Linked DNA regions of Arabidopsis thaliana. The protein of the gene in region 2 purifies or fractionates together with the protein of the main gene of each other region. This does not show direct contact. Each region holds a gene or a part of one and is shown on either strand. Other genes may lie near its edges.

What was found.
Region 1: the proteins of PDX1L4 (region 2) and EMB1241 fractionate together in Arabidopsis thaliana (co-fractionation; one large-scale study listed by BioGRID). This does not show direct contact.

The regions. Positions count from the first base shown.
Region 1 is NC_003076.8:5,838,813-5,843,475, forward strand, and holds EMB1241 (Co-chaperone GrpE family protein), read right to left. Parts: upstream 3,047-4,663; 5' UTR 2,828-3,046; coding exon 2,576-2,827; intron 2,014-2,575; coding exon 1,498-2,013; intron 961-1,497; coding exon 748-960; 3' UTR 527-747; downstream 1-526.
Region 2 is NC_003071.7:16,004,898-16,008,231, reverse strand, and holds PDX1L4 (putative PDX1-like protein 4), read right to left. Parts: upstream 1,484-3,334; 5' UTR 1,035-1,483; coding exon 795-1,034; 3' UTR 510-794; downstream 1-509. Other genes in the region: APD3 (RING/U-box superfamily protein), read right to left, coding at 1-120; APD4 (RING/U-box superfamily protein), read right to left, coding at 1,971-2,046, 2,163-2,412, 2,519-2,594, 2,687-2,839, 2,941-3,023, 3,100-3,177.

The DNA.
Region 1 (4,663 bases), on a different chromosome or scaffold from region 2:
ATAACCAAAAACCGGAACAGAACCGCAAATCAACATTTGTACTTGTACGTTCACACAAGACATGCATTGTCCTAGGAGACTAAAGATGGACCGGCCGATTACACCTCGTATCCGATCCAAAAATTATGTGATATATTATCATCATTGAGGATAAAATTTACTATTGATTGTTTCACACTTTCACTGTATGACACTATTTATTCTATTACCCGGTTTAATGCATTATGCATGGATCCCAACGTTACTAGAAATATCCAAAAAATAACAAAAGAAAGAAGAAAAAAAAATCCAATCCAAGATACCCAACATACATGGCCCTAACATTTCTTTACACAAAATGGACAACTCCTCTTTAAGATATTTAAGTACCCAAAGAACCCTAACCAAAAGAAGAAAACTTGGACAATAATTTGGACTCGTAGGCCATAGTACTCAAATACAATTTACTGTATTGACTTTCTGTTTGTTCCAAACTTCCAATTATCAACATTTTCTCTGAATCTTCCGAATTTTCTAGCTGTGTATAGAGAGATGAAAAAAAATCAATTATGGCATTCCCTTTCGGATTGAATACTTAAGAATTCATTAAAAATGTCGATCTATATTACTTCTAGACTCTGTAGAAATGATATAACGTATCAATAACAATAACAACAATAATGGTAAAACAGACCTCTCCCTCTTTTATCTCTGTATCTCTCTCACACACACGCACACAAAACTGCTGAGTCTTGATCATCTTCAATTTCAAGATGAAGATGATTCTTCTTCTGCGCTTCCTTGTGCTGTGGCTTCTTCTCCTTCAGCTTCAAGGGGCTTTTCTGGTCCAGGTCCAGCTGATACTTTCACCATTGAAGGACGTAAAAGCCTTTCACCTAGCAAGAAACCTTTCCTGTATTCTTCTAGTACTATACCCTCTTCGTATTCCGCAGAGTCTTCTCTCATTATTGCCTCATGTAGCTTTTTTCACACAACAACGAGAAAAGCAAAAGGATAAAAAAGAGATGTCAGCTGTTAGGGACTTGAAAAGACCAACAAACAAAAGGATATCTACCAACTCATTGTCATTTAAACCCAACTTGCAAAAGTAACAACCACATCTTACATCTAAAGTCTCCAAAACTTTAGCAGATTCATGCTTAGGACTAGACGCATAAGTGGTTATGTATTTCAAGCTTTGCGATAACCAAAAGGCATCTAACTGAGATAAGTGATCCTAAACCTCAAAGATTTATTGATCATTTGCATCACAAAAGTATCATTCAGCATAATTTGTTCCATCCATCTGATGTAGCTAACTTTCAAAGTAACAACCATATCTACGTTCTGCTCAAGATTATTCCGGCAGCCCTATAGCAACGAATTATCCTAACTTCCAAAACAACTTTGATTTTAAAGATCACGTCCATAGTTAAAAATTAAAACCACCAGCAAGCTGAGCAACAAAAATACAGTTGTCGATCTCCGGAAAGAAGAAAAGATATCATAGTAACTAACCATTGGATCAAACTGCTTGCCGACTGTCTCCACATGGATAACACCAAGTGATCCCAGAATTTCTACAAACTGTTTGTATATGCTCTGATAGCTATTAGTGACTTTCTCTTCTCCCTCAGTCTCCACCTTAATTTGGGATTTAGCTCTCTCGAAATTATCCAAAACAGCCAAAAGATTCTCTACAACCTCTCCTTGAGCATTTGAAACAAGGTTTAGCCTTTCCCTCTCAGTCCTCTTCCTGAAGTTGTCGAAATCTGCACTGATTCTTATAAGCCGATCCCTCTCCACCGATAACTCATTGGATAAAGACGCTACTTTATCCGCAAGCAGAAATTTTTCATCTTCTATGGACTTTAAAGATGCTTCTATCTCAGCAATCTTCCCCTCGTTGTTGTCTGCTAAAGCTTCTTTATAGGATTTCAGCAACGCTGTGATAACAGCTGCTTCTTCTTCCTCAGCTTCACCCTCCTCAGCACTGGCATTTTCATTCTCGACATCAACAGCACCATCCGTCTCCTGCTCCATGATTTCAGAAGTGAAACAAAAAATCAGAAAAAGAGCAATCCAGTTTACATAGACGTTTCCTATCTATTCCTGATAAAAGCTGAGACAGAACACACACTAACGACACAATTTTTTAATGACCTCCTAAACAATCAGATTAACACCAAAAAAGCTTCAGAACATTCTGTGGCCCCCATACAAGAATCACGAAATCAAAATTCGATTTGGATAGTACATACACACCATGGTCTTAAACTACTAGTGAAACTCCTTCATTTTGGGAACACACCATACCACAAGAATATGAAATCTGTCATTCATCGGATTTGGTATATCCTAAGAAACATTAGCATTCACCATTTGACTCCTGAATAGACTGAATACAATCCTATTCATTGCTCTAATTCATGTGAACGTTCCTTCAGAGGGTAATATAATCAATAAAGCTTAAAAATTTAAGCAAACAACAAGCAATTCTAAATTACCATATCCCAAATTCGAAACCCTAATCACCGAACTAACAATGAAATAACCCCCAAGAAAGTTGAACAGAAGTGAGCCGAAATCGAAAAACCTGAACTTCGGGTTCGTTCGATTCCACCTCCGTCTCCGTCGTCTCAGCTTCTCCCGAAGCAAAGGGTACGAGGTTTAGTAAGCGGAGAGGATAGCCGCTAGAGACAGACCGGAGAGAAGCTCGGCGAGAGAGTGAGACGCTAACGTTTCTTCCTCCGGCGAAAGATACGCAAAAGGGCTTAAAGGGTACAGAAGGAGCATGAAGAAGAGTTGGTGTGAGATGTAAAGACGGCGTTTTGAGTAGACCGGCCATCGAAGAGTTCGGAGAAAGAGAAGGAGAGTGGCGGAGAGAGATAAGGAAGATAGAGAGAGAGAGGGCAAACGGTTCTACTCTTCCTCGTCGGATCTTTTGTTTTGTTTCGTTTTTTTAACCGTTGGATTTACTTTTCGTTTTTACTATGTTGATCGGACCGTTGTTGTTCAACAGAGATTACGTAGGGAGTTTTTCAACCGTCGGATTTAGATTTTCTTGAAACTTCTACAGTTTTGTGAATATTTTATATAATACAATAAAATCTCTGTAAATTAATACTCGAGAAGGCTGTTCGATGTTCTATGCCAATGATCTAACTGATTCCTGGTATGATGTCTCCAAACTCTTTGTAAGTTGTCTTCCACTCTTATGGTTCAACTCTTTTTCCAAGTCCACTTCATCACGAATCTCTTCATCTTCTCTAGCGATGACTACACTTTTCTTCAAGTGGGAGCAAATTTATCCAGGAACTGTTGTTCTGACATAAGAATATTTGAATGATTTGTAGTTGTATCAATTTCGCCTTGCCTTTCTTTTGGATCTGAATGTTTCAAACATTTTCGACAATAAAATATGTTTTTACCAATTTGTATCAGTTTTGTTATTGCAGATTCAAATTGTATCATGATCTCATGCATATCGTTGTTGAAAATAACATAATAAGACTTGAGATTTGGGAAATTTTTAGAAGCAATTTTGTGTTATTGACTATAACTAGTTCTACAATTTGGGCTTAGGCTTTATTTACAAAAGGGTTTCCTTAAGCCCAAAGAGATGTACTATATAGTTAAATGTTTGTTTTGGTCAAGTACTAGTACTCAATATGTTATAGATGAAAAGTAATAAGAGAATATCAGGGTTTGCCGGTTTGGGTTGACAACAAAGAGATAGGAGACCATCCATGTTTAATCTATTTTCTAAGTCCGCACACTTAGTTTTGTCAGAAGTAGTGGGTGCAACGGACCTTAATCCTAAATCAGAAGTATTAACTACAAAGTGACTAAAGTTTTAAACTAATTATTAAATATCACCCGTTGTTGAGGCTAACATATCATAAAAGATATTCTTCTTCGACCATTTTACTTTTTCATTTTCCAATTTCTCAATATATTATTTTAGTTAAAATTTTGTAAGTAGATGTTTATCAAAAATTCTCAAGTAAATATCTAGCATATGTTTGGAGGTGACAATCCATATAAGCTTTTAAAATTGAATATCAAATAGTTTAGTTCAAATGTTTAGAATTGGAAGCTAAATAAAGGAAGAATTTCAAAAGCATCTTTTCGAATACCACTTTTCAAAAATATTATATTTCTAATTGTTTATTAAAAGTACTCCTAAGAATATGAGGTTTATTCAAATATGTGTGTAACTTTATTAAAGTATACAAACTACTTTTATATGTGTGTAAAAACTTATAAATATTTTATAAATACAGTATAAAAATAACTTATAAATACCTTGTAAAACAATACCTTGTAAAACATTTTTAAATACCTTCTAAAATCTTATTAAACCATATAAAATACTTTATAAAACATTAGATCGAATCTCCAATTAGTAGTTTACACCAAAAACTTTATGAACTTTTGAGATTTAATGAAGAGTATTTTCTAAAAATAAACACCTAAAAAGTTTCCAATGGTGATTAACAAATTGAACTAGCTGAATAAAATGAGTACTGATAAGTTGAATAAAGATAAGCTGAATAATAAAAAAGAGTTGGATAAACTAGATGAGATGAATAAGTTAGAGAAAAATAAAAGGTAACCTCTATATGTTTTCAACAGCTAAACATATTTCAATATTAATTAGAAACAGCTAAACAACAGGTTG
Region 2 (3,334 bases):
GGACAAGCTCAACAACCCCCATGAAGATTCGTCAGAATTGAAGATATCATCACAATCTTCATCGAGGGGAGGTGGTGGCATGACAAAGAGCGGCTGAAGGTCACCACGAATTGACCCCATTTCGGTGATTCTTAGAGAAAGAGATAACAAAAAAAAAATTATGAGGTAAGAAATGAATTGGATAGAAGAAACCCTAGAGATTTATAGGATAAGTAAAGATAAAATAAAACACCTGAGAATTTGTGAGGAAGTGAATCCATGAAAGATAAGATGATAGGGTAAGTTTATTAGTGTAACGGTTATCGTTCGATTTTGGTTCTCCGGCTAGTCTTCTTCTTTTCTCTCCGTCGTTTGAACGGTAATGACGACCAGAGTCTTGAGGGTATTTTTATAACTTTATTATATAAAATAATAACATTATTTTTCAGACTTTTGTTTGTGTCTGTGAGGATTTTGTTTTTTTATTATATTATTTGAAGAGATTCTTTCGTGAAATTCCAATTTTATCCTTCGGTTAACGTTAATTAAACTGTTAAGTTTAACAGTATAGTAAGTTAAAATTAATCAACTGTTAAGTTTTAGTGTTTAATTAGTATTCTAAAACAAAATATATTGATTGAACTTAGCAATTTCAATATACTTATGTGAAATTGTTTATTCATATGTGTTATCTTAACAATTATTGAATGTATTATTGCACAATTAATTACATAATGTTTATTTTAACAAAAAAAAAATACAGTGCCTAAAAACATTATGTAATGGTTTCTCCTAATTAAGTATGACCATGTCAACTAACAAAAACGTGCAACACCGCCTTGAGCTCGAATATCGGCGGGAACACGTTCAAGAGCCATCACGGCGCATGCGCCAGCTTCTTCAGCGATTCGAGCTTGCTCTGCGTTGACGACATCCATGATTACACCGCCACGAAGCATCTGAGCGAGACCAACTTTCACGGAGAAGGGAGATTTCTGTTTCGTCTCCGTCATGGCTCCTTCGCCGTACACCGCCACAACTCCGGTTCCTGCCATTTTTTCTAGGGTTTTGAGAGAGTGTGGAGCAGAGGAGAGGGGATTTTATAGGACGCGATTTGAAATTTGTTTGTGGACTGTGAGCTGTTGGATTGAGAAAAGATAGTAAAAGTACGTGAATCGGACGGGTTTAGAGGAAGGAGCACGAGGATTGTGGTGGACGTGAGTGTAGAGAAGAGAAGCTACGTATGGAAACTTTGACCACAAGATTTGTTTCTTTTTGTTGTAAATGTATAGTCCCGAAGAGATTATTATCTTGTTGACGTGGAAGCTCATTTCCCTATACCATCGTGTGATGTCGAAGAACCACTGATTCGGATATGTTATGTGTGTAAGGGTGTTGTTCTTTTTTTATGGTATAAAATATGTGGAGAATTTGGAAAAGAATATTAAATTTAATAAAATAAATTACAGTCCTTAATTATTTAATCAATAATTTATACTCTTTTCATTTCACAATATACGTTGTTTTAAATAAAAATATGCAAATTAAAAATATTTATTTTTAAAAAGTTTAGCTAATCATAAAAGAGATTACATAATATAAATAATCAAAAAATATTAAAATAATATATTATTTACATAGAAAGTTAAAAACAATTTATGTTGTGAAACAAAAAAATTGGTCCAAAACTACTTATATTACGAAACGGAGGAAATATACAAAATCCGAATTTATTCAGAAATTAACAATTAATTTATGAAATCCTTAATTATCGATTCGGGTTTCGAACCATTTTGTGATGTGAGTCAACAAACAATGGTTCACTATATTGCCTACCCTATGGTAGTTAACCAATGGTGTTGTCACAAAGATGGTTAAGAGATGAAACGAATTAATGCAAAGAAAGACCTGAGCCTTGTCAATATCAAATTATATGATTTTTATTAATGCTCTAACGATTCAACATCACATTGGACAGATAATAATACATCTTAAGCTGTATAGATTCGCTTCACATGCATTATTTTCTTTCGACATATTGGACACCTCCCCTTGGTTCTTTTTATCCTGCAAATATTGTCAAATCACAACGTTCAATATTTTAGATCAATCCCAATATGGTAAACACATTACCATTACAATTATGCAATCCAGAAGTTGTACTTAGTTGATAAAAAACTTACTTTGTTCCGCATTGGTAACAGGAGACGCAATGGCCACACGGGAGGAAACAACAATCTCTTGGAGCATCAAAACAAATGGCACAGAGACTTTTGTTACTTGCTTCGACATCATTACAACAATCATTGTCACCTTTGTCTGCAAGTAGACATGTTCTCACTGAATCATCTTCGGATAAAAATCCCTCTCCACCACAACACTTTAACTTGTTGCAGAAGTGTATAGCTACCAGCATGAAGGAAAGCAACACACCTGCATACGCAATAATACTACATGTAATTGCTTCCTTGTTACAGAGAAACTAACAAATGCTTAAATCCAATAATCAAGTTGACTTTGAAAAGATTGAAAAGTTTACCTGTGAAGCTTCCATATGCAATCAATCTAGGTTGATATGACAACTCGATATACCATTCATCATCGATGGATACTCCCTAAGGCAGTGAGACAAACATTCATTCAGCTAAGAGTCATAATAATAATAACAGTAACAATATTGTTAGTGTTTCGTATTACGAGTACATACCTGACCCAGTGCTGGTGAAGTTACGACAGCATAATTTTCAACAGGGGACCTTTCATTCATTTTGAATGAGCACTCGCCATTGCTGAAGGAACAATTGTAGGATGATTGTTTAGTATCATACAAGACAACCTTCACATCAATATCCAGTTCCACCTGAACAAACATTATGTCAAGTAAAACAGTGTACTGTGGACTGTGCAGAAACACAACAGAAACCAAAACTTAATCCAAAGTCATAACTTGATTATAATTACCTCTACGTCCTTCCTCTTCAAGTTAGCCACAGTAAGATAATAACCTTTAGACTTACTTATATCCAATTGAATCATACCACTCCCTGTAAAGAACTTTTATTAACTCATGATAAGCAATGTAATCAATGCATCTTAAGCAGGAACTTCCATTTGACTAACCCTGAATTAGATTCCATGACCAAGCGGTGTCACGAAATGCAATATCCTTCAGCGACGACCGATAGAAGAATGGCATTCCTATAAATTGAGAGCCTTAACATAGTCAGTTTATATCCCTAAAAGGCAACACTTTCAAACAAAAAAAACTCACTAACATTAACACTTCTACTTCCTCTATTTCCTCTTACTTCACTCAAAGTTATTTTCCTATTCAAGTATATACTATACACAAATG